Styela clava: one gene and its partner. Each later gene encodes a partner of the first gene's protein in a complex. Links are inferred from orthologs where the notes say so. Each region holds a gene or a part of one and is shown on either strand. Other genes may lie near its edges. The genes, in order: pre-mRNA-splicing factor SYF1-like and pre-mRNA-processing factor 19-like.

Region 1 (9,563 bases):
GAATCTGCTAATTCGTAAATTTGTTTATTTGCAATGTTCAGAACCACCGCCATCATATCACCCACGATGATACCTACAGAGCGCTAAAATAACGAAGCTGTAGAATAACTCGTAAACAAGGGAATAATAACATTTCACTACAATAGAGAGATGGTAAGGGCAACTTCATTAAGTTTCGCACAACAACAATATTGTAGTGCGTGATTGCCACCAGGTAAACTCATGTTGATAATAAATGAAGCACAACCGGTGTTAGCAAAACGATGTAATTTGCCGACGTTTCGAATTTCTATACAGAAAAACTTCATCAGGGCATGATATGGAAAGGACACAAGTGGATATATATAGAGCAAGAAAAAGAAAAAATATGAAAAAATTATCATGGCGTCAACTCTAATCTAAAAGGATGATGATAAGATAATATGTATAAATAAACAAACTAGCGCAAGTTCAAACAAAAAGGGGACTATTTAAACAATGATTTATATACAGGCGGGTGCCTACTTCACGTACATATTTTTTATCAAAAGATATCATCGTGCTGAGCGGTTGGACTACCCGGCTGCGGTTCGCTGGTTCCCGCCAACGAATAATCATTTATGCTGGGAATACCAAAGTCCTCCCCCCCGTAGGGTGGTTCATGTAACCGATAGTCGGTTGCGGCTTTCTACACCATCAAGGCCAGGCATCTGAAACAAATAACCAGTGGCGCATCATTCTGAGTGTTAGGAATACGCTCGTCATCGTACCTCTGATTGCTGTACGTGGGTTCGCAGGTTCGAATACCGTTGGGATATTTATGTGAGATAGGATTGTCGGACTCCTCACCGCGGTAGGGTTGTTCACGTAACCGCTGGTCGGTTGCGGCTTCTTCGACCATCAATTCCAAGCATCTGAAAGAAATACCTAGCTGACTAATATCATGTCTTACCCGAAACGGAGTGGTAATCGGACGACACACGGTCGTAAACCATCTTATCGGCTTTCCTCTCCCGGGTGAAATATTTCAATCCTATCTAAATTCGAACTGAATAACTAATTCTCCAGTCATATGATTGAACTGGCTTATCAACTTTTCTCACTTCCAGGAAAAAAATGAAAATTCACATATTGCTGTATAGAATAGTTTCCAGTAAATTCAGGATGCCCTATTTCACGGTGAACCGCGGACATTCATATGCCTTTGTTACGTCGATTAGCATTTTTTCGCTAAGCTTCAGCTTTAATTACGATGGCGGAAGTAGACAATTAAATCGATGTAAAGGGTAATGTACACGAAAATGACTCGATTAATGTTATGTGAATAAACTTGCTTTTCATGTTTTATGTAAATTCTAACGTAAATCGTAACTTGGCTGATAGTTAATTTGCGCAAAAACGTTTGCGGCACGCATTGAATTTTTGGCTCGTTGTGGACTTATTCAACCGCTCCGCGGACTCAAGTTGGGAAACACTGCTCTAACAGCTAGCTTGTGCGAAGCGAACAACGCGTGTCATAAAATGAATATCCATGAGGCTCAAAAAGTTTTAAAGGTTAAATGGTTCAATAAAATAATCCCGAATTGGAAATAATTTAAAAACGTATTTATACTTAATAAAACACAAGTATCTCAATCCAATAACTATCGTTGAAAGTTGTCAATCAACGATCGAAGGAGCGCATTTTTAAACTTTGTCAAAAGACCCATTTTACGTAGATATGACACTACATATCTACATCGCATATTGTACACTATTCAGTCTGTACAAAAGTCAGATTGCGAGGTGCTCATACTGTTTAGGAATAGTTAAAAGTCTGAACAGTTAACTGAAATAGAATTTTAAACACCGGACTGGAGGTTTGGCGCATCACACTGACGTTAAAAATACGCTTGTCATCGCTCTGTTCCCTAAAAATAATTTTGTTCTTCACTGTCGCATTATGCTTCACGTTCGTGTAACTCATCTGTTAAGTATTCGAAACCCAAAGCAAATGTATGTTTACGTGGGTAATATTGGTAAACTGGCATATATATTTCACGTGTTTTCAAATCTTGATAAAGGTTTTGTTAGTTTCCCAATCTTCTGTGAGTTCATTGTTTTGTGTAGGTTTTTTTACGGGAAAATCAAAATAAACTCATACTCATAAATAACTATCACCCTATCTCGTCGCCACTGGAATCCCAATATTTGTTGAATTTCAGCAATACTACCTGTTACTACTGTCAACGTAGTCGGTAAATCCTGTAATTTTTTTCTATGAGTCAACTGACTTAACGAAGGAAAAACTTTGAAGTGTTGGAGATGAATTTTTTTGACCTATGACCCCACTAACATTTTATTTGGTGCTTCAGCATGTGAAAAATACAATTGAATAATTCCATGCCGGAATTGCTCTGGAATTGAGTTCGACAATAAAAGGTTTCTCGGGGTTATTTACTTCTGTGAATGCTGCGTTGGGATAACGTTTTAGATTCGTTATGGAGTGAAGAAAGCCAACGAGTGAGCACTACAATAGGTACGTTGTTGCAAGACCTTACGCAGTACCGGTACCGGCACGGCGGCAAAACTGCAAGAACTCTTAGCAACCCACTCGTTCATTACCGGTATCATCTTTCACTAGATTCAAACCTGCGAACTAACACAGGGTACGGTATCGTAATCAAGGTTGCGGTGGTCAACGTATTGCGCATTCATAACAATTAGCACGAAATCCTATATTTATATTCCAGTTCAGTCAGTCGGTGTCATTCAGTCATTCAAATAACTGAATACCGGTAGTGATTCCATGTTCATGTTCTGATGTTGTCTGTGTTGTAGGCAACATTTCTACTATTACAAATCATAGTAACATGACTCACTCACCCGATTTAACTGAAATTCCTTATTATATATGTATAATGATCATTTTCTAAACACTGAACCAGTTATGAAAAGTGATGATACCGGTATTAGAATTTTCACACTTATGCACTTTGGTGAAGTTGAGATTATTCGTGTCTAGTGTAGTTTCGTACTTCAAGTACTTGGCATATGTCAGTTCTAACCCCAAAAATTGTTACCCTATGCCAACTATAAGTACTTGAGGTATGAAACTACTCAAGACCAGATTATTTTGTTACAGGCATTCAAAATAATAATGGAAAGTTATTGGACTCTGATTTTGCATCGCTTCTTTTAAAATATTCCAGTTCATACCGGTTTAGATATGTATAGATACCGTAATTGATTTACAACAGATACCTTCAACTGCAGTTTCTATAGAATGGCTCTGGTACGAAGCAATATTCTGAGCCGAGTTTTTTATAAGCCTTCCATGCTTGAAACGAAACTTCATTTACCACTTCTTGAACAAGTCCGATACCGCAAGCCGAAGTGGTTACTACCACGTCGAGCACCTTCAAAAGCAGGGATATATTTTAATAAACCGAGACCTACGGAACATGATGTAAAGAAAAGTGAATTAATCTATAAATCTTATAATGAAATGCTGAGATCAATAGCTGCTGCTTTCCAAGAAGAAATATTGATAAACGAAGCTAAAAAGGAATCAAAAACTGTCTCAAAAAATAGTTTCGATGAACAAAGCCACCATGAAAAATGTATGGCGTATAATGAAGCTCATAACAAAGAAATGCGGGAAAAACGAGAACAAAAACTCGATCGAATATTGGAAAACCAAGAACAACAATTGAGCCAGAAAGTCAGTTTATTAGAAAAAAAATTCGAACATAAACTTGCTAAATATGAGCAAGAAGTTTTGACAGCGATAGACGAATCTGAAAATTGGATTAGCGAGGAAAATTTGGAAGAAAAAATTGAAGAAGCTTTAGACAATGTGGTTAACTTTAATTTTGCTGTCAAAAGAAATGGCAGAATTGCGTTAAGAACTGTGATACCATAGTATTTTAATCTGTGATGCTAGAGTGCATGGGATTCATAGAGTCTTGTTACAATTAGAAAACATTGGCAACTGACTTCATAACGAAGTTTTGAAATTGCAACTGGACTTTATAATCTTTTGTCATCATTGAGGCATTACATGTGGTATAACAGTGAAAGTGCTGCTATATGTTACTTGTGTGCTTAAGGTTCTGAGGTGCACATAAGGTGCATAATTGACGATAACAGTGTTTCCCAACATTTATGGCTCGTGGCGCTTTTAGCACTCATTGCCCCCCTGTTTATCATTCCAGTGGGATTCAAAGTGTTATTTTGATTGGCAGATTCCAAAGCCTATTAAATGTTCAAACAATTCATGCTCAACGAAGTGAAAAGACCCTGTGAAATAAGCTTATCAAGCTATTAAAAAGAAGAACAGGGTTTTTCATTTAGTAAAACTGAAATGAGTTTTGCGGCTAGCAATGTGGCCCCTCTCCAACTGCTCTGTGGCTTCCTTAGGGAGCCACAGGCCCGTGGTTGGGAACCAATGCCACAGTATTTTCTGCTGTGGTGCAGTACATGGTGCTTATAAAGTCTTGTAACAAATACAAAATATTGAGAACTGACTTCATGACAAAAATTTTAATTTGTGGTAGTGGTAGGATCCCATGAAGATCCTGTCTATCTTTTGTTTGGGACCTGGTTTAGTATGATTCCAACTTCGTCCTCTGGTGGGAATCATTGAGACATTAAATCAGTGTAACAGTGAAAGTGCTGCTATATGTTACTTTTTTTGTTGATAAGGTTTTGATTAATAAATCGTACAAAAGTTGGCTGGACCCAGGTTTGAATAAAATTTTGCTTTGTTTGAAGTTTCGCTTTCACGACTGCTAGTAAACTCCAGTACGATTTGATTTCAATCTAACCCTAGAACCAAATATCTTATTTAATGTTTGTGGCAAAATATATTTCATCCCAAAATGGAGCGTCTTTATTAATGAACTGTTCTGTAAAATGAGTATCGATATATGCTAATGCTCAAAATATTGTGTGAAGGTATTCATGCCGTCTTTTTTTATCTTATAGTCTTTAACCCATAGGAAGGACTGAATTCCTGATAATACATTCTTTATGTTTTGGAATCATCTTCATCATTTAAACTCTAAAACTATGTGTTCCTATTTTTATCTTTTAGAATTCTGTACCGTTAGACCTATTGTAGAATAAGAATATGCCATCTGTGGATGAGCTGGTCTTGGAAGAAGATGACCTACCTTATGAAGAAGAGATATTGCGCAATCCATTCTCTGTCAAATGCTGGCTGAGGTAGGTTTATTTATTACTTATCGATCTTAAGATCGGTAAGTATATTGATAGGTATTTGTATGTATGTCTGTCTGTCTGTGTGTGTGTGTGTCTGTTAGATGCGCGCGATATCTCACGAAAGCGAGATTGAATCTGCTCCAGATTTTGCATGTGCATTCATCTTATCTCGGACCAGATTCCTATTGATTTTGGGCGAATTATGTCGTATAATTAGCGAGTTATCAATCAATTATTGATTAAGTGATCTAGATTTTTGTAAAGCGAGAGGATTTTGAGACCCGCCGAGTGTGTGTGTGCGACGCGCAGTGCGCAAGTTACACGAGCGGATGAAGCGGATGAAAACTGCAGTGTCTGTTTTGGGGGATCCCCTAACTATCGATCGATAAGTATTCGGTTTCCAACCGATATTCTCGTTGGTTTTTTAATCACATATTTAGAATTAGGCTATACATAAGCGCCCACTGCTAGGTCGGGATCTACTATTGATCAAAAGAGCCGGAATCTTTCTGGCTCGACATTGCCTAGACATGACATGGGCAAACAACGGCGAATTCAATCTGATGCTGCCACAACCAAACTAAATTTGTATTTTGATGTTTTAGGAAAAAATACCTCGGAAATTTGTCGAGATTGCGATAAAATTTGGTTTTGTCACGAAGCTCATTGTTTACATTTTTGCTTTTGTAACACTGTAAATAAAATTCTGTTTATAAAATGTAACTTTTAATGTCATTCTTACATGGCCCCCAAGTCTTGGTTGGCAAAATTTTTGACCTCTGGTTCAAAAACCTTACTCAACCGTGGCCTAGCAGGGTGAGGTGACTATGGAATTTGAACTCCTGATTTCAACTTGAAGTGTAACGCTTCAACAACTAAACCCCCCCGACTCAGGTTTGTGTTCAATGATCAGAACATGGACTTTGCTAAACTTTTATTTTCACTATCAAGTTGTTGTGTATGCTCTATGTAATTTTACATTAGTCAATACCACCCAGATGTTACACCTGGAGGGTTATTAGTCGTTAATGAATATGATCCACTGGAAACCGAAGTATAAAGTACACCTTAGCTTGGAAGATTGTTTGTCGCTTGCGATAATTTCCTTAGCGTACAAATTTACTGAAAGATTAAGGTCTGAAACGATTAAAGACAGATGGCAAATATCTGTGACTTTACAACCCAATTCTCTATGTATTATCCGCACCTGGATATAATGTGCAAAACGACCCACTTATACCTCAAACTCACCCATCCAAATTCATGCCATTCTGAAAATTCAGCATCTCTGCAGAGCGATTTTGACACTGTAACCCGCCTATCTGCGCCACTGCTGAAATCCAATTATTCTGTCTATACCCATGTTGCTTGCTGATCTTCCAATGTTATTCCCTGCAACAAATACGTATTGCTTCACATCAGGTGAACAAGCAGGCAACGATTGTTATCGACAACAGTTATTTGTGAATAAACTGTTCTTTATTCATGGTTTCATATTGAGTTTTGAATCTGTGGCCCAGTAACCAAGTCTATTGAATATAAGGATAGTATTATAGTAAAAGAAAGCCCACCCCGACTCTGAATGCTTTATATGCGAAAGTCCTAAGTTATTTATTTTTTTTAGGTACATTGATCACAAAGAAAATGCACCTTATAAGCAGCTCAACATGGTCTATGAGAGAGCTTTGAAAGAACTTCCTGGAAGCTATAAGTTATGGTACAACTATCTACGAATCAGACGAAGCCAGGTTAAAGGTCGATGTCCTACGGACTCAATGTTTGAAGAAGTTAATAACGCACATGAACGAGCGTTAGTTTTTATGCACAAAATGCCCCGGATTTGGATAGATTATTGTAAATTTCTTGTGGATCAAAGATGTCTGACGAGAACGCGTCGTACTTTTGATCGCTGCCTTGAAGCTCTTCCAGTGACGCAGCATGATCGGATTTGGCCGTTGTATATTGAATTTGTGAAAAAATATCCCATTCATGAAACAGCAGTTCGAGTTTTTCGTCGAATGCTGAAACTCATTCCAGAAGAAAGTGAAGACTACGTGGAATATTTAATATCGATCGATCGTTACGATGAGGCAGCTACAAAACTTGCGGAAATTGTTAACGACGAGAGTTTTGCGTCGAAACATGGAAAGACGAATCATTTACTTTGGCATGAGTTATGTGAACTCATTTCAAAGAATCCTGATAAAGTACATTCGCTAAAAGTCGAGGCAATTATTCGTGGTGGTTTAAAACGTTTCACTGACCAATTAGGACAACTTTGGTGCGCTTTAGCTGATTATTACATCAGAAGCGGACTTTTTGAACGAGCGAGAGAGATTTACGAAGAAGCAATAGAAACTGTGACCACTGTCCGTGATTTTACACAAATTTTCGATGCGTACGCTCAATTTGAAGAGTCCGTTATTAGTTCGAAAATGGAAGAGGCGGCTGAAGAGGAACAGAATGAAGAAGATGACATTGATATTGAATTACGACTCGCAAGGTTCGAACATTTAATTACGAGACGTCCATTACTTCTCAATAGCGTCCTCTTGAGGCAGAATCCACACAATGTAAACGAATGGCTTAAACGAGTCGAGCTTTACGAAGATAACTTAGCACAGGTCATCAATACATACACAGAAGCTATACAGACAATAGAAATACCAAAATCCGTTGGAAAGATTTCTAATCTCTGGGTTTCCTTCGCTAAATTCTATGAAAAGCATGATCAAATTGACGACGCTCGTACAATTTTTGGAAAAGCGGTCCTCGTGTCTTACAAAGGCGTTGAAGATCTGGCCACCGTGTGGTGTGAGTGGGCTGAAATGGAACTACGACACGAGAATTTTGATGGCGCAATCAATTTAATGAAACGAGCGACTGCAATGCCACCTAAACGCGCTGGATATTTCGACCATACCGAACCAGTCCAAAATAGAGTATACAAATCATTGAAACTCTGGTCCATGTACGCTGATTTAGAAGAGAGTTTCGGGACCTTCCATACTTGTAAAGCTGTTTATGATCGTATCTTGGATCTCCGAATCTCCACTCCGCAAATTATTATCAATTACGGAATGTTTTTGGAGGACAATCATTATTTTGAAGAGGCTTTTAAGGCTTATGAACGAGGTGTCGGGATGTTTAAATGGCCAAACGTTTTCGATCTTTGGAATACATATTTGACTAAATTCATTGCAAGGTATGGTGGAAAGAAACTAGAGCGCGCTAGAGATCTTTTTGAGCAAGCTTTAGACGGATGTCCCCCCAAGTTCGCAAAAAATTTGTATCTCTTATACGCCAAGCTTGAAGAAGAACATGGGTTATCAAGACACGCAATGGCAGTCTACGAAAAAGCTACGAAGGCCGTTTTACCAGAAGAAAAATATGATATGTTTAATATTTATATTAAGCGTGTAGCCGAAATATACGGAGTTACCCATACAAGGCCGATATACCAACGTGCTATCGAATCACTCGAAGATGCTCAAGCGAGAGATGTTTGTCTCCGATTTGCTGACCTTGAACAGAAACTGGGTGAAATTGACAGAGCAAGAGCGATTTATGCTTTCTGCTCTCAGATGTGTGATCCAAGGTGAGTGTGATTTTCCATACCACCCAATGTACCCTCGTAGATGTCAGAAACCAACTTATCAATTATTCGTAAATCAGAGGTGTGCAACATGCGACTCGTGGGCCACAATCCAGCCTGCCAAGTAAACTTCGCTGTACTTTTTTTAGTATTTTTCGTAAAATTGGCATGTCCAGGGACAGGGGTGTGCATCGGCCGACTTGCGTCCCTCGCCATGCCATTTAGTGTGGCCTTTGTCAACACTCAGATTTATCCCCATCAAGCATAAAATCCTAAACCAACAGTTTGTGGACAAAAAGGTTGCGAGAAATCTCTACCCAAATAGTTGTATATAAACACATGGATAAATCGAATTTTATATACCGTAATTTTTTATTAATTTTACTTATAATTAATTCTTCATTTTACTTATTTTATTTTCAGAACCACAGCTGAATTCTGGCAGACGTGGAAAACTTTCGAAGTAAAACACGGAAATGAAGACACAGTTCGTGAAATGTTACGAATCAAACGAAGCGTTCAAGCAACCTATAATACTCAAGTCAACTTCATGTCGGCTCAAATGCTGGCTGCTGCTTCCAACACTACAGGTATTGATAGTATTTTTTATCATCATAAGGCTCTGTTATCTGAGGATCTACAGCAGGGGTAGATATGGTCTTAAGACCAGGGGGAAAAAACTGGCGGGCCACGTAAGTGTGACGAAAAAGTTACATTTTATGAACAATATTTACAGCACTACAAAAGCAAAAGTGGAAAACAATGAGTCCTGTTGTAAGTCCCA
Region 2 (9,593 bases), on another chromosome or scaffold:
GCATGATTGCCACCAGGTAAACTCATGTTGATAATAAATGAAGCACAACTGATGTTAGCGAAAGGATGTAATTTGCCGACGTTTCGAACAGATGCCCTGATGAAGTTTTTCTGTATAGAAATTCGAAACATCGGCAAATTACATCGTTTTGGTAGCACCGGTTGTGCTTCATTTATTATCAACATATAGACGGCAGGTTAGAAACTAGGATGAATATATGGTCCCAAACATCATTAAAATGCCCGCCTCCATAGACGGCTATTCAGCTGTCATAGGGATGGATATATATATATGGTACCATTCATTATTTGAATGGCCTTCTTTGCACAGGACTATAAGGCTGCCATAGATTGCAGGTTAGGAATAGGGATGCTCCAAAATACAATTTGAATGCCCCTCCTGAAAGATGGTCACAGTGAACTGCAGGTTAGGAATATACGATACTAAAAGCTATTTGAATGGCATTCGTTGTACAGGGAGGTTGGGCTGCCATGTTTCAGAAATAGGGATAGATATATATCCTACACTTTGAGTCAACATTTGAAGGATAATTACTGTCCAACATGTGCAGTGTCCTATATGTGTACCCATGTGCTCACGATTGATTTTTAACACTATAGTCCAAAATAAAAAAATTGGGGATGTTGATACCTTGTCTTGTAGTTTGTAATTGCTGTCTCAATGTATATGAATTCAGCATGCAAGCATCCCACTCATCTTGTAAGGACTTCAATATAGCTGGGATACTTGTTGCAGATGGTGGTTTGGGCTTGATCACTGAGTGAGTCTGAAAATACAATAATTTTCAAATTATGCAAGAAGAATTGGCCATTGAATAGCCCCTCGCTCAGCACATTTTTGCTAAATGCTAGTGGCACTGGCAGCCAGAGGTTCACATCTTACTCACATAGGAATTTTCTCCAGACCAGGATAAAAATGAAATAAATATGAATAAGTCATTGAGCTATTTTTAGCCAAAACATCAAACTTTTAATTTTAGTCTGATTGTGCCCGGATTTGGATCACAGGCCATAGTTTGGCTATGTCAGGTCTAGTCTGTAATATACAGATAAATATAAGTTTTCGGAGTTTCAGACCATTATGTTGGTGAGAATATTGAATAGGTAGAAATTTGGTGAAGTATGACTGAATCAGAGACAGCCGCTATTATAATTGAAGTCTGAAGTGACGTTTGCTAATATAAGATATAGAAAATATTCTAATGTGGCAATTTTCAACAGAGGAATTTGTATGTACTATGTAAATTCGTTGAAACTGAATCTGGTAAAGTAAGATAGATAATATAAACTTTGTTCTGATTGGAATTGTTTTTTTTGCACTGTTAGAAGATGAATTAAGTCTATTTTTGTCGTTTATTTCAGATGTCGAATGCCTAAAATGACAGAAAGAAGAGAGATTCATTATTGGGTCAACCGAAAATACAGTCATCAATACAAATATATATGGTTTTTATTTGATTTTAGTTGGTTGTGGCAGCATCAGGTAGGCCAGATTGGATTTGGGCCGGATTTGGCAACGCGGGCCGTAGTTCGCCCATGTCAGATATAACGCAGTATCAACCTTTATATCAATTATCTGTTCCGGTGAAATAGGTTCGTTGCATGTAGGGTCGACACCATGCTCTTGGACATATTTTTCAAGCAATCTTCGTTCAAATACACATCCAGATACTTGGGATATGCATGGGTGATCTGGCACTTCTCCACTGACTGTAAAAAAGGATTAAAATGAATTTTTGAAATGAAAGGTCTGGTTGTTTCACCATCCAGTGAGAAAGAGACAATCATTTTGGCAAATAACAGAATGCTGGAAATCTGGAATGTGTCAAAATGTTCACATACAGACATACGTCAGTCAGTCGAAGTTTATTATAACTGGGGTTCAATATACCGACATAGGAGTCCATAGGACATACTTATGACGGGTCTGGTATAGTTAAGTACCACATGCACTTCTAGTTGGTCTGGCTCAACAATTTTTGCATGGTTCCCGTACATTTGAACACACGTAAATTTTTTTGTTTTACGGACATTTTAACCCATACTGACCCTAACCCATGGGTTTTAGCACCCGCGGATATACACATGGGTTCAAATGTACAGTCACCTTTTTGCATATGTCATTCTTAAACCCCACCTGACTATGTCACCAAAAAATCATGTCATTATGACATCACAGTTTCGTAATAAAGCCCTCCTAAATATACGGAAGGACGTCCCAAATGCACAGACGATCATCCAAAATTGAGCAAGTTATTTCTCTCGTTTTCTCGTCGCAACGACCCTGATATGAGAGAGATCGCCGATGTTCGTTATCGGCGGCACAGATGCCATTTCGGGCGATCGCAGCTACACTTTAGCAAGCTCTATGACGTGATTGTGACGTCCTAGTGACATAATTTTTGGATGGCATAGTCAGGTGGGGGTTAGGAATGACATATGCAAAATTCGTTATGCTACGCCAACTAGTGGTATACTTGTGTTACTAAACTATAGTAGGGTGGCTTACCCACTTTGCGGCCACGACCCATTTGCGGCCATCAACTTCATCGGTTAATTTAATACCGAAAAAATTAATGAACCGCGACGATATTTCTCACCCAATTTCGTCCACTCATACCTCGTATCTCTGCGGAATTACACTAAAATGCGGCCACAAACAAAAAAAGTTACGCCCGAAAACCCGCCCGGAGAAAAAAAACGGACCATTTTTTCATGTCGCCAACTACCCATTGTCGCTCCAAAAAGCTTGAAAATCTATAGAAATATAGGAGATAAAAACATGAAACTTGGCAGCTGAGTAGAGTTTTGTTTCTTTTAACCATCTTTAAAGTTTCACGTTTCAACATTTAAGGGAGGGGAAATAGGGGGGTGCACATTTCCAATACGTCAATAATATCTTTGTCGAACAATTTGCGATCACCGTGTTTTTGTCTGTTTGATTGCTGTGATGTGGTGCTTTGTTTATAATTTGACGAGTTGTGTTCGAAATAATCGTGTTCTCAAAATATATGACGGTCAAAAAAGCAATTAGGAGCCCAATTTTTTCACGCATGGCTGCGTATGTGCTAGTCTCAACGCAGCATAAGCGATGTTCAAGGCTTGAAATCTGCGGTTGCACACTGGTCGTTCGGTCGCAAATACGTCTCCCGAGTGTCATACTTTGATGGTTTGTATAGCTTTAACCACTGGTCGTAGAAAGTTAATTCGAGATTTACCGTGTAGAATAAATGCCAATGGGGTCTGGTATAGTTTAGTACCACATACACTTCTAATTGGCCTGGCTCAACAATTTTTGCATATGTCAATCCTAACCCCCACCTGACTACGTCACCAAAAAATTACGTCATTCCGACGTCACAGTGGCGTAACACGGCCCACCGAAGTATGCGGATGGTTGTCCAAAAGGCGCAGACGATAACCCGAAATCGAGCAAGCTATTTCTTTCGTTTTCTCATCGCAATGATCACGATAGGAGAGAGATCGCCGGCTTTAGCAAGTTCTTATCGGCAGCGCAGATGCCATTTCGGGCGATCGTAATTATACTTTGACAATCCCTATGACAGTATGACGTGATGGTGACGTCGTAGTGTAGTAATTTTTGGATGGCATAGTCAGGTGAGGGTTAGGAATAACATATGCAAAAATCGTTATGCTACGCCCACTGGCAGACTGGAAGTACTTGTGGTACTAAACTATACTAGACCCTGCCAATGCACCTACAGACCTATGGTGAAAAAATTAACAGGTTAGAAATATTAGTTTTAATTTTATAGCAGTTTGAATGAAATCGTCCACAGACTGGCTGCACCACCCTAGACCCCTTTGAAAAATTTACAAATAACAAGTTTCAGTAAAACATGTTTTTTTTGGAAACAAATACAGAAATATCAAAGGAAGGGCACAGGGGAAAGCTTATAGCGGTAGCGTGAACCAGTAATCCTCTTGCACGTAATTACTTCCAAATACGTAAATAAATTTAAATTCAATCAACTTACTTGTGCATATTAACGACATTTTGACAATTACAACATACAATCCCAATCCAATAATAGTATGATCTTCAAAACTTGGAGCTAAAATCAAAGATGGCGGCGCCGTATGAAGTCACTCATGCATGGTGTCCAACAAGACTTCCGTGGTTTCGTGCCGATGGATATTTTCCAGACCTTCGACCCGAAAGATATTCTTCATGGATTTATTTTTAGGAGTCTATTGCGAGTTGGTCTTACAAACTAGTACTGATAGCTAATTTTAGCCTAATTTATCGCACCATTTTAAAGCTAATTTTTGAACACCAATAGCGACTTTCGGACTGGTTTGTTTCAGCGACTCTTTACCATACTGCTGTTCATCGGATAGAGGCCTCCGAATCAGTCGCACCACTTTCGGAAAGGTTTTAGCATAGGACAATATTTCATCTATATCGGTGGAGAATAAAGCCGACTTAATCATAAGGCGAACCACGACCACTTGTCCGGTTACCGCACCTATGGTGATAGTCAAAGTTTCGTCAGTACTTTTCCCGACTATTTAAATTGTTTTTATATGCGGATTACACTCTCTTTCAAAAAAAAAAATACTTGAGGTTCATAATGATTAATTATCAATAAAATTTACTCACATTTAAAGACCCCACATTCACCAGTATTGATATATGGTTTCTTAAACAACTCACAAGGCAAATGAGAACGAAGTCTTACGCTTCAACCACTAGGACACGGGTTGGCACGGGTATGGGATAGTGGCGTATCTACGTAAAATGTCGCCCATGGCAAATTCTGAAAACTCGCCCCCTTGATAGTTTGACAATTTATAATGACTATTATTTAATTGAGATACTTGTACGTTATTATCTGAGTAAAAATACGAGTTTCAATTATTCCCAATTGAAATTTTTTATGATTAATACTTTTTGCCCGTTTTGCGCCCCTGTTCAAACGGCGCCCATGGCACGAGCCATGGCTGCCACACCCTAGATACGCCACTGATGGGATTAGTTGGTTATTTGTTTTCGAAAGCATGGACTTGCACGGCCAGCGGTTACGTGAACCACCCCACGGCGGCGAAGAGTCCAGCAATCCTCTCGCACATAACCATTCCCGAATTGGATTCGAACATGCGAAACCACGCAGAGTAATCAGAGGTGCTATGGCGAGAGTTTTCCTAACGCTTAGCACGATGAGCCACACCGCCGCGCTGCCGAGCCGCAACATATACTCTTATGTCAGAGGCTAATAAAACTTTCGGAAACCCACTTATGATGCAATAAGCAAGTTCTTAAAAATACGAAGATTCAATAATAGAATCTATGACGAAATGAAAACTGCTTGCAAAACTAAAAAAAGAGAGTGTTTACACACTTGAATCGCATTAATGCAACCTATTTTTACCGCTTGCGACGTATAGTTTGGGGACCGCTGTGATGTGTAATTAGTGGGGAGTATTTAGCTTTATGCCTCCGCCTCTCATTAATGCCTCAACGCTTCTAAAAAACAACTTTGAGACAGAGCTCCGAGCCACAGGTTGGCGATCGCTGCACTAGGCCATGGCTTCCACAAACTTTCTTCATAAACTTGTTCAATAAAAAATACAAGAGTTTTACAATAATTGTTTTTATTTGTTATACGAAGGCATTGGATGCAAGAAAAGAAGAATTAAGGATCTTTATATTTTGAATTACCTGAGTTTGCAATATGTAAAGAAAATATTCTGGAATTCTGGTCGTCATTAAGCGAGTCGGGAAAAGTTTGGTAAAGTCATATTAAAATCTACTCGGATTTGAGGTTTGGAGGGATTTGCGCCCACAAAGGTTTCGCACCAGTATTTATATGTACTTTTCTTAAACAAGTTCCGTTGGTTCAACGGAATGAAGTAATAATGGATGGAAATCGATAACTAGAGGTCTACGACGCTATATTTTCATCACAGTAAAGTAAATTATGCAAAATATACTGAATACATAAAATGTAGTCACACTGTATACCTATAACAATGAAATACAGATGAAAATTATAACTGTACATCTTCGTCAAACATGCTTATACAGAGAGGTATGCTTATAACAGTGCTCCGAGTAACCTGAGGTAAATGGTATTGGAAAAATTAATATACAGTTTTAAATGTATCAATGCGACAAAGTTTGAGGTATTTGTGGTTGAAGGTAAACTTTGAGAATGAAGGAAGATTTATTTTTACTAGTCGTTTTATCTAAAATGCTTAGACCGAATTCCATGCCGTAGCGATAACCCTATACTTATGAAATTTAAACCTATTAAATACCGCAGTTGCGCAGCCAGTCAGTCAAAATTGACCAAGTCGCAAATAAAACTTTGGGTTCCGAGTTACCGCAAATTCAATGTTCAAACCAAGAACACGTTTGCTCTGCTGAATTGTTTATGGAGCTATCTACGCAACTGTGGCTGGCTATGTTAATCAGAACCAAAAGCAAGAGAATTGGTTAAATAAGCGAACCAGGGCGATTATTGCCATGTAGCTTGCACATCATTGACTGACAACAAAGGGCCTTGTACAAGAATCTAGAAGGTGTTTCATTCCGAACAAAATCATGTTATTCATATTTTGACTGACAGAAAGCTACCTAGTTGATGACGATTTCCTCGTGATATCAGTAGGATTTCTGAAATTTATAATTCCTGCGGAAGAGGAAAGGCGAAAAGATGTCTTAATCATATGGCGTACCTCGGCCCCCCAGTTCATGTCGCGTATGGGAATAGTAAATATTCAGTTATTTGTTTCAGAAGCGAGGGCAACACTAGGTGAAAATAAAACTTGAATGAAAGTGATTGATAAAGTAATAAAAATGACAGCTGTTATCCTGGATACAGAAAGTATTATATAGTAAGCAAAATAGGAAAAGAATATTATTGACGCTATTTAATTAATTAGCGGGAACAAGATTGGCGGACTGGGGAACAGAAGATGTACCGTCAAGCCTTGTTCGGTTTGGATCCCACTGATATAAAAGTGCGTGTTGGAGTCGACTATAACCGGATATTGGAAGAGATTCAGACGGGTAGTAGTGGTTGTAGATACCCGATTGGGCAGATTCAGGAGTGGTCGGAGTCTGACTTTCTTTTCGATATGCGAAATTTGCGACTGTGTTTGGTGAAAACCGGAAAAATCTAGACGCTGGGTCGCTGTTGTTTTCGTGGTTGAGTGAGTCAACTCCGGGTTTGATATTGAAGGTATTGGTTGTATCGCCGGTTATCCCGTGTATTCCATTGTCGTTGTATAAAAGTCTTGGATCTGCAAATGGCGAGGTTAGGCCGAGGAAGCTTTGCTGAATCTGAGGTGGCACCGCATACATTGTGCCATAAACCAAGTCTTTCCAACCTGTTATAACTGGCTTCCATTCAATGATAGGGGCGAATCGATTGGCATCAAAACCAGGCGCCACAGATTTGGTTTGAGGCGGCGGATAAGTGTCATCATGGGATGCATCGGGGGTTCGTGACACTGGTGAGGCGCCATCGATACTATCTCCCTTCGCTTCACTATCCTGGCTTTTGTTTATATTCTCATTATCTTTGTATTGCACAGTTTCTTCGTTGTCTTGCATATGTTTGTCTTCATTCGACTTCTTGGCAGGTATTTCATACCATTCGTTGCATAGTTGTCGCTTCCACTTCTGTGGTTTTTCAGATGCTGAAAGTGAAATAAGGAGTTTATTGAAAGCTAACAATTAGACGGGGTTTAGAGATAAGTTTGTGGTGTTGAAACTATTACAAGTGTGATTGCTCATATTATTATGATTGCTTTGGTTTGGTATTTGGTACCAAGCTAAGAAAACGTGACACAAAGTTCAAAATACTAGTCAGGTCTGCCTACGAAGCAGGTACATCCTTGGTGAGTCCATATTGCTCGAATACTGGCGCACATCGATCAAAATAAAACCGACCATAAACTCGACTTACAGTTCACAATAATAAGTCATATTACAGTTCATTTTTCCAACAAGTTAAAGTAATTACATATTAAATAAATTAGGTGGTAAAAGTCGCGGGAGACCAAACCTGTTCATCAAGTACCTCATCGGGAATTAAAAGAAATTTTAGGTTTCTGAGTATTGCCTTTATGAGCTACATCGCATCGACAACATTAATGTGTATTCTTACCTCTTTTTAGTGACTTTCTCTCTGGACTTTGTATTTCGTCAGAGGAGGAGACATGTCGCTCTTCGTTAGTCGTCGTTGACGCCACATCGTGGTTGTCATTTTCAGTTGGCGAACGACCGACATCGGGACCAACGACATCTTCATTTGCTCTATCGTTTTCTCCCGATTGTGACGTATGCGGAATTTCTGTGACCTCTTCCGGTACGGGTTCACACCTTCCCAATGACTTATAAGCAAGGTCTTTCACTCTCTGCATAAAAGCGGATTGGATTCGCTTCGCTTGGAACGTAACATGTGTGATCTCATTCGCTGCTGAACCGGAAGTGTTTGGAGAGGATTTTCTCAGATTTGGCGAAGAAGGAAGAGATTTGTCGCTATGGCTTGAATAGGCAGAATCACGTCTCTGGTCTTTGCGGCTATGGTCGTTGATCACGTGTTCTCGTAGTTGCTCTCCGTTTTCGAATTTTCGGTCACAGTGTACACAGTCGTTCACAGATCTGCAAAATTAAATAGGTAAATTTTAAATTATAAAATTCTGCCTATAATTCTTCGTAGTTCCATTAGCTCACGGCACTCTAGTTATCGCACGTAACGTCCCTCAGAGATAGATTTTCTTTATTTATGACAAGTGTACTTGGGCTGGGTTTCGACAAAGTTTCACAAAAAACATGGGAAATGTAGGACGGGGATCATAGTTAATTATAAAATGACTCAATCGTTTGACAGAGACTTGGGTTTGCTTACAGGATCGTGGTGGTGACCCAGAAATGGCTTGAACTGTGTGTTGTAAGACGGACATTTGCAGCGTTGGCTTTATTGATCAGCATAATATACTTATGAACAACAAAAACTATATCGATTTTTGGTTGTATATGACGCGTCAGAAATAAAGATTACAGCGAGTCTTGAAGCACTTCAAGTCTATGCAACCAGCAGGAAAACATATACAACGTAGCGAAATACCTGATTGAAAAGTTTTAGATTTCGACTTCTATAAATAAAACAAAGTCAGCCTATGATTTATCTTACCTCACGTTATTGCTTTGCTTTGGTAGGCTTTCGTCCGCACGACTGATTACAGGTTTATATTCAAGAGGTACCGGGGTATCGGCTGAGGTGTTCTCTACTATCGAAGGATGTGAAGACGGGGTTTGGAAGTAATGTAACATATTCATATTGGGTGTAATGGTTGTCGGGGGAGAGTATAAAGGCGCGGGTTTGGGGTCGGAATCGCTTCTTAGGAGAGCGGATAGGGACGGGAAATACGATATATCATTTGTGGAACAATTGGGTGCTATGAATTCCTGTTTTATAGTTGGAGATGAGATTGCCTTTGATGGAAATCGATGAGGTGATGCGGTAGTATAATTTGTAGGTATTGAGGTAGGAGGTAACGACGTGGAACATCCGTGAATATTAGGATATGGGAAGATCC

Evidence for each region.
Region 2: pre-mRNA-splicing factor SYF1-like (region 1) and pre-mRNA-processing factor 19-like share a complex: the UniProt entries of both Homo sapiens proteins name them as parts of the XAB2 complex. The link is inferred for Styela clava from reciprocal best matches to the Homo sapiens genes XAB2 and PRPF19.

Annotation. Positions count from the first base shown.
Region 1 is NC_135255.1:19,051,061-19,060,623, forward strand, and holds the start of pre-mRNA-splicing factor SYF1-like, read left to right. Parts: upstream 1-5,051; 5' UTR 5,052-5,092; coding exon 5,093-5,187; intron 5,188-6,808; coding exon 6,809-8,782; intron 8,783-9,202; coding exon 9,203-9,369; intron 9,370-9,563. Other genes in the region: small ribosomal subunit protein mS26-like, read left to right, coding at 3,245-3,883. UniProt on the Homo sapiens protein: Involved in pre-mRNA splicing as component of the spliceosome. Involved in transcription-coupled repair (TCR), transcription and pre-mRNA splicing.
Region 2 is NC_135252.1:20,699,959-20,709,551, forward strand, and holds the start of pre-mRNA-processing factor 19-like, read right to left. Parts: upstream 4,179-9,593; 5' UTR 4,038-4,178; coding exon 4,019-4,037; intron 1,731-4,018; coding exon 1,582-1,730; intron 788-1,581; coding exon 652-787; intron 1-651. Other genes in the region: uncharacterized protein LOC120343531, read right to left, coding at 6,922-7,688, 8,159-8,655, 9,188-9,593. UniProt on the Homo sapiens protein: Ubiquitin-protein ligase which is a core component of several complexes mainly involved pre-mRNA splicing and DNA repair. Required for pre-mRNA splicing as component of the spliceosome.